Bombyx mori: one gene and its partner. Each later gene encodes a partner of the first gene's protein in a complex. Links are inferred from orthologs where the notes say so. Each region holds a gene or a part of one and is shown on either strand. Other genes may lie near its edges.

Evidence for each region. Proteins that work in one complex are often made in the same cells at the same time.
Region 2: DNA replication complex GINS protein SLD5 (region 1) and DNA replication licensing factor MCM4 share a complex: the UniProt entries of both Homo sapiens proteins name them as parts of the CMG helicase complex. The link is inferred for Bombyx mori from reciprocal best matches to the Homo sapiens genes GINS4 and MCM4.

What each region holds. Positions count from the first base shown.
Region 1 is NC_085121.1:9,245,307-9,249,697, reverse strand, and holds the start of DNA replication complex GINS protein SLD5, read right to left. Parts: upstream 2,887-4,391; 5' UTR 1,690-2,886; coding exon 1,113-1,689; intron 431-1,112; coding exon of another isoform or gene 408-430; exon of another isoform or gene 1-407. Other genes in the region: opsin-1, read left to right, coding at 3,024-3,030. UniProt on the Homo sapiens protein: Required for correct functioning of the GINS complex, a complex that plays an essential role in the initiation of DNA replication, and progression of DNA replication forks.
Region 2 is NC_085125.1:2,551,018-2,555,092, reverse strand, and holds the start of DNA replication licensing factor MCM4, read right to left. Parts: upstream 2,895-4,075; 5' UTR 2,750-2,894; coding exon 2,620-2,749; intron 1-2,619. UniProt on the Homo sapiens protein: Acts as a component of the MCM2-7 complex (MCM complex) which is the replicative helicase essential for 'once per cell cycle' DNA replication initiation and elongation in eukaryotic cells.

The sequences.
Region 1 (4,391 bases):
ATATCTTAGATTTTTCTTGTATTTTTTTTTGCATGGTTTCAGTTTTTGCTCAATTTTTGTCCTATGATAGCTACTGCTATTTCAGATTTAAAATTCTATGACATTCCCTAGTTTTCTGAGGAAATGCATAAACTTAGTATTTATATAGATAGCATTACTGCAATTACAAACCTACGAAATTAATAAATTTGACTTTACTGGTGTAAGTATATGGTTGGGCTACATACCTACAATAAAATTTAGACTTTAAATTGAAATGTTAAGGTAATTACAAGCATTTTTACATTACAGCTTTATCATTTAACATCTTACTTACACTTTCACTAGTGGTACGGTGTCTTGTGAGCCTGCATGATGTGTACCACCACCCTGCCTATTTCTGCCATGAAGCAGTAATGCGTTTTGGTTTAAGAGTTGGGGCAGCCATTAACTGAGTCATAAAACGGAGACTTAGAACTCTTGCCTCAAGGTTTTAATTAAAAAAAATAATAATTTTAATTATAGCACAACTTTGCACTTTAGATTAGTTTAAAAGTATAAGATTTTAACTCCTATGGTAAATATCATTCACTGTGTTTGATTTTTTTTTATTTCTGAGATTGCTACATAATGTATGTTCAGAAGTGTTGTATGTGTCAGACATACACAATGTTAAATGTTCACCAAAATCTATAAATACTATAAAAAGTGAATACCTCCTGAGATATGAGGTCTAAGTCTCCATTGTCTAGTATGGGGACTGTCCCCATTCTTCAAACTTCATGACTGCTTTATGGCAGAGACTAATTAATTGGTGACACATTCCCATATGGCCTACCACCAATAATTATGGGATATTATTTTTATTTTGGCAAGTTTATTGTTTCCATAGTGTTATTTCTTTTTTGTGGATTAATCAAACAGAATTAGATTCAATTTAAGACATATATAATCAAATCATTCAATATACCATAATATTATTATTTAAGTCATGATAACTTCAATGATATAGGTGATATCCTGTGGTACAATAGTCAAGGTCATTAAACCAACAAGGGTATTGCTCTATCTATCAAAGTATAACAAAAGAAAACCTATAATGTGTTTCAGTTGTGAGAAAATCAATAACAAACCTTCTAAGTCAATTTCTTCATCTTCACCAGTCAAGTCTTCTAATACAACCCCATTAATGGTTTCATTGGCTTTAAGGAATACATGCGTTTGTAAATTAGGATGTTCTGCCATTTTGTTCATTTCAAAGACTTGCATATTACCAGGCATTTTATTTAATACCACATTTTTCATATGATTTTCCATGTTCAAAACATATTCTTGAGCATATTTATATTCTGATGGTGTTAGGTAATTAGTATCAGTTTCTATTCTTTGTCTTTCTTGGTTTAGTATTGGAATGCAATATTTTTCAATCTTATTCAGTCTAGTTTTAAGATAATTACAAATAATAAATTTAATTCTGCTAATCTCCATTTTGTGTATAGAAGTTCTCAAATCAGTTTTTGAAAGTTTATTTATGTTTCTTTCCATGTGTTGTATTTGACCTAACATACATTCTACCATGTCATTTTGATGAGGGAGTATTTCTGGGGACAATCTTTCATTTTGCCAAGCACTTTGTAGTGTTTTTAAAACAGTCTCAGCTGTTACTTCTTCTTCATCATCACTGAACTGCAACTCTTCGGTTGACTCCATATTCTTCTAAATTATATATACCCACAGAATTCTAGTGCAACTTTAGATTGTCACTGAATGATATTATTCTAGCTTTCACGACTCGAATTTGAGTTCTGGTGTTTTTTAGGTTCTAAAGAGCTTTTTTTACCAATTCATTATAAATTTAAAGAGTATATAATCGCATTCATGTTTCACTACATTACAATCATAGTTTTTTTTTCTTTTATCTTTTTCTTTTATTAAAATTTTCTGTATTTTTGTCTTGCTTTCTGTACTAAACAAATTGTTACTTTATGACATACCTCAATTGTCATTAATTTTTTTTTTCTTCTGAATAGCACGGGATTTTATTTCTACTACCTTTATTGAAATAATAAGTTTATGGTAAAATAATGTAATTTTTTTTCTCACAGATTTTTTTGCTTACTATTTGTTTAAAACTTTGTTGGTTTGAACTAGAGATGGCGTTAACGGTTGAATTTATTTATCTGTTAACTGGTAATTGATAAAAAAAATTACCGATATTTTTATTGGTTGAAAATACCGGTAAATCTTTTCGTTGAAAAATTAATTTTGCTAATGTTAAACTTGAATGGTACTAGCACTTTTCGAAATGATCCCATATTTCTGCATTGCGTTTCGGCATTTTAAATTAGATATACAATTTAAAAATCCACAACAACAAAGTAAGCAAAGTCTCAAACACACAAAAACAAAGTCAAAACACACAAACACAAAGTACAAATCTCTTAAAATACAAAAACACAACTTTACCAAAATAATAGAAAAGATGCACTGAGCCACCAAAATGTCAAGTACCAAACAAAATATTACGTTTAAAAAATCAACCAATCACGTCATCTTCGCGTTCGGTAAAAATATCGTTTCATTTCAATTTTTTAACGAAAAAAATTATCATTAACTGTAAAATACACCAACTTAAATATTGTGCTTTATTTTGAGGGGTATAGAGCATACAATGAAATCATAAAATTCAATATTTTTTACATGATAAGTTGAAGACATCTGCAAGGCGAAAATGAATCTTACGTGTTGAAATAAAGTTGAAACTTGCATAAATATAATTTCCAATAATTGCCTATGCCACTACACGCAGTGTGTTTGGTAAACGGTATTTTTAACCGTTTTGGGTAATTTTATTTATCGAATAGAAGTGTTAATTTTTTTTACCGGTAAATTTATTGGTTATTGGTTATATTAGCCACCTCTAGTTTGAACCAATGTTTTATCTATTTCTATCATAAGTAATACTACGAAGAGTGAGTGAGCAGCTATGAGTCTCGATGATATTTAATATCAAGTTCGATTTCTACAAATGATAATGTTCCTGTATGTTAAGTATGTTTCTCCACTGTGTTCTTGAACAAAGTTTAGTAGTGAAGGAATAACATCGAACGCTGTAATAAAATTAGTATAAGCCGCCATACCATCTTGTTTATTTCTTGTGCAAACCAATCATCATCCTGGTTTGAAGGGTTGAATGGTTAATATTTTTAAATATTTTTTTATTGCTTCATGTTGTGGAAGTCTCAGTAGTAATGGGTGCTCGAGCCATCCTAGTAGGCTTACAGCAAGCCTTATCTTACTAGTAAAATTAGGGATGAAGAGCAAGAAAACGAAAAAAGTCGATATTCAGAAGAGAAAAGCCAGTGCTGACACTATGAAAGAGTGCGTCGCCTCCCACTTAAAACTACATATTATTTTCAAAACTCGTCTGAATATAGCTTTCAGAAATACTTTGCTATAGAGTTCATCCTAGAATTATTTCTAGAAATGAGCTGTGGATGGAACAATGAACTCTACTTCGGACATTACTACTGAAAGTTGTTGTACATGTGCTTGGTACAAGCACACTGACCATCCCGTAAATACATTTACATTATTCATTCTAAATTTTACTTAAAATAGAGCCGTGGGCCGCGGGACACACCTAGTTTGTTTTAAACAATTAATTGCAGTTTTTGTATCGAATAATGTACGTACGTACTAGCGAAGACATTTAATCTTGTTAGCCACATAAACCTGCTTCTTTGAAGTCGCATAACTACATTACCTCAGTAATACAGAGCTGTACTTACAAATATCTGTACTTACAAATAGCTGTACTTTGCAAATATCAACCGTACTATAACGGCGGCACTTAAACATAGTTTATTTTATAAATAACTAAATTTATTACTAAATTTCAAAATTCTGCTGACCGTTTCCTTGAAATTAGTCCACATTAAGCACTTTGCATCTTAAAATTTAGTTTTTTCGTTCCAAAATTTACGTATGTGCTCCATTGCTGCTCTTTTTGGAATCACCCAGATCTTTTGACACAAGTAGACTTTAATCAAAAATGGCTTAGAATCGATTCTTAATATGCAGCTAAACGAGCTAACTTGGACCCATGCATCCCTACCCATCCGTTTTGGTGGTTTAGGGACTCGCAAAATTTCTCGTGTCGCTTTACCAGCCTTCCTATCTTTTGTCCATAGTTCAGCAAATCTCATAAGTAAAAAACTTTGAGATTGCTGGCTTGGAAGAAGCTAGAAACGCTTTCTTAATTGGATGCCCACGTCAAAATTTTCCAGTTTCTCTAAATTCACAGAAGAGCTGGGACGACATAAACTGCAAATTGACATATGACAATCTTTTGAGCTGTAGTACAGGTTCGGCGCGTGCTAGGCTTTTGGCTGTGGGTGCGCACGAGGCCG
Region 2 (4,075 bases), on another chromosome or scaffold:
GCCATAACTAAGGCCCCAGCACCGTGTAATGCAAAAGAACTACGATCATTTTTAGGACTAGTTAATTTTTACGAACGGTTTGTACCACATCTTCACGGGATTTGTTCGGATCTTCACGATCTAACTAGTGAAAAAAATAGATGGCGTTGGACTGATCATGAAAACAGAATATTTGAAGATACAAAGAAATGCATAACTTCTTCACAACCATTAATTGCATTTGACGAGAAACGTCCCCTTTATTTAGCATGTGACGCTTCCGAAAAGGGATTGGGTGCAGTATTATTCCACAAGGACTCGAACATAGAACAACCAATTGCTTTTGCTTCAAGGAAACTACGACCAGCGGAAATGAAATATTCCGTTATTGATCGTGAAGCTTTAGCAATAGTATTTGGTATAAAAAAATTTGATCAGTACTTGAGAGGAACGAAATTTAATCTAGTTACGGACCATAAGCCTCTTATACATATTATGGGTGCACACCGCAACCTTCCTAAACTAGCCAATAACCGATTGGTAAGATGGGCCCTAGTAGTGGGAAGTTATCAATATGACATTTACTACAGGAAAGGTGAAAATAACACATTAGCTGATTGCCTTTCCAGATTACCAAACCCTGAAACTGAACCCTCCGAGACAGAAGGGCTTGTACATAAAATAGATCTACGTCTTTTGAGCACTCGAATGACTGACCTTAATCTATCAGAACAGTTACTTATGAAAACAACTTCAAAGGATCATATACTCACAAAAGTTTGTCAAAATTTAAAAACCGGCTGGAGAGAATCAGATTACAATCCAGAAATGAAACCATTCTACAGAAACCGGACTGAATTATCTGTTGAGAATAAGATACTTATGAGGCAAGGACGCATCGTTATACCTACAGCACTCCGAAAAACCATTCTTACATACCTTCATCGAGGACATCCTGGCATTTCTGCTATGAAAGCACTTTCACGTTACTATGTTTGGTGGCCTAACCTTGACGAAGACATAGAATTATTTGTCAAGAAATGTACCAGATGCCAACAGAACCGCCCTTGTAATCCTGAACTTCCTGTATTTTCCTGGTCCATACCAGAAGAAGTATGGGAGAGAATCCATATCGACTTTGCTGGACCGTTCGAAGGATCGTATTGGTTGGTATTGTGCGACGCTCTCTCCAAATGGGTGGAAATACGACCGATGAAACACATCAACACCAGATCACTTTGTCTTACATTAGATAACATATTTTGTACATTTGGCTTACCAAAAATGATTATATCCGATAATGGACCTCAATTTACATCTTATGAATTTAAAGAATATTGCACAAAACAATCTATTTTACATGTCACATCATCTCCATATCATCCTCGGACAAATGGGCTGGCAGAACGTTTAGTCAGAACATTCAAAAATAGAATGGCATCGGTAGACAACACAAATCTCGAGCGCCGACTATTAGAATTTTTGTTTACATACAGAAACACTCCGCACTCGTCCACTGGTAAATCTCCAGCTGAGATGATGTTTGGACGACAATTGAATTGCATACTTTCCAACATTCGGCCAGACAAAAGAAGATTAATGCAGTATTTACAAGTAAAAGAAAACATTCGTACCACATCACCGAGTTACCGACCAAGTGACCAAGTATATATTAAAACACGCAATGATAAAATATGGGAACCAGCGGTAATTACATCCCGAAAACATAAATATTCATATATTGTTTCAACACCAGGAGGACTAGAAAAACGAAGACACGCTGATCACATCAGGCCACGCGAGTCTTCCACCTCAGAAACCCCGAGGAATAAAAGGGCGCATTCTTCTATGCTGCCGACGACTGCTTCTCCAGACATTGGAATGGAAACATCAATTAGCGAAAGGCTAACTAACAATAAGAATTCGGCAGCAGTACTATTACCTACACCGCAGTCGCCTACAAATGTACAAATTTCTCCAAATTCACCTTCACAGCATTCGAAGTTATACTCCTCACCTGCTCCGGTCTCCACTCCTGTGCCATTTGCTCCGCGTCGAAGTAATCGACCTAAACAGGCACCCCGCCGTCTGATCAACGAGATGTAGATGGGGAGGAATGTTGTAACCTTCTTTTCCATATTCCATTATTTGAAATATACTTCAAACACATTGTCATTTTTGCTACCTATCATTATTATATTTTTATGCTATGTCTTGAAAACATTGTTTTATTATATTAACTTGAACTTATTATTTTATATTAATATTTTTATGACATTAGAGACTAGACTTTATTGTCCAAAGCGGGTGCTAGCATTTAGGTTGTGATGTCTAGTCTACTTTAATCAATTAACAGATGTCTGCCTGTTTAAAACATGATAAAATTCGAATGCTGTTTTATTTAGTTAAATATTACGCTGTAAGCCTTTTATTCCCTTATGTATTATATGTATGAAATTTTAAAAAGTTAAATATAAATTGATAAAAGAGGTTAAATGTTAAGATGAAATAAGTACAGCAGAATTAAACTAAAATTTTACAAAACAAATTTTAGTTTAATTTGTTTGTAATTCTAAATAAAAGTTTATATACAAATGTACAATTGTTTTAAATCTTAATGATTCTGTTGTCAACTCTCACCTTTCGAAGGTGTGCCGGTTGAACGCTGCGGAGTCTCCGGAACGATAACTTGTTGTGAGGATCGCGTTCTTCGTGGAGTCGATGCTTCCGATGATGCACGCGACGACGGGCGTTTAGATGGTGTAGACATTTTTAACTTCACACTCGTTTTTTAACACAACTTACTATAAAAAATAATTAGCAACAAGTTTTAAACAACACCGAAGCAGCATTTGTTTTGGAACTTTAGAAGTCTTGGCGCGAATTGTTGACAGCTGACATTGTCGTTCGTTATAATCGGTTTCGTTCGTCAGACAAGTAAAGGGAATATCGCCCGATACCTTGAAAATTTCTGTGATACGATTGAACCCAAAAATGGAAACTTCGCGAATTTACAGGTGAAATTAGGTTACAACTAAATGAAGCGGACTGCAACAATTTCATTAGAGAAGGAATAAAATAGCCTCTAAGTAAATTAAGAAATAAAAAGGTAGATTTGAATTTCCAATTTACTAAGTATTCAATGGACTTTTTGGAAAAACCCGAAAAGCCACGACCAGTGACTTTATTCTTCATTTTTCTACATTCATGGATTTTTACAAATCTATATCTGAAGATACACAAAGTGAACAAAACACTATAATTTATAGAGCTGGACACTTCACATTCCTCCAAAAGGTCGGCTTGTAGATGACTCACGATAGTTTGCTGTCAGTTTGAAACCGGTGAATGCAACCATTATATATTGCGACTTGTGTAGAGGTTTGGGCATGTACACAAATTAATATTGTTCATCACCTACGTTTTAGTGATACTATCAACTCAACTTATTTTTAGTTCTTTTCTTGGTGGATAGTCAGTAGCAATTTTATTAAGTAAGAAAAATAGGATTAATTGTACCGCGTGAGCGGTCCCAGTTTAAGCAAAGTTCGGATGTGACCGTTCAGACTGTTTAAAACGCTATGCCCTATTTCATAAATGCTGTTGCACCACCCTTCTTTGGAAACGATTAGGCCGTTGACAGCAAATTCTACCCCTCTTGGTTTAAACAGAGCTCACTTTCCTATCGTGTTAAAGCCTACAGGCCATCAGCAATCACGCGATCACGGAAAGATAATTAAGTGGGCAAAGGTGCAATTGATACTAAACGAGATAACAGAAACAATTTTATTTGGTAATACCGAGGACTAAGCCATGCTGCATAAGAAAATATGTTTTAAGAAAAAAAGGTTCATCATTGCCGATTAATAGCGATTTTTACCCTATTGAATGTCAACTTACCACAGACAATGAAGTTTGTTTTTTAAATCAATTGATCGTTCATTCACCTTCACCGCTGATGTTTTTGTGGTGTTATTTTATGTTAAAATAAATAAAAATGATAATTGCTATGTAACAGCAACTCTGACTGTTGTGTAGTAAATTTGATCAAGTGCAATATAATAAAGGAACGTTGATAAATGCACGAAAAATATTC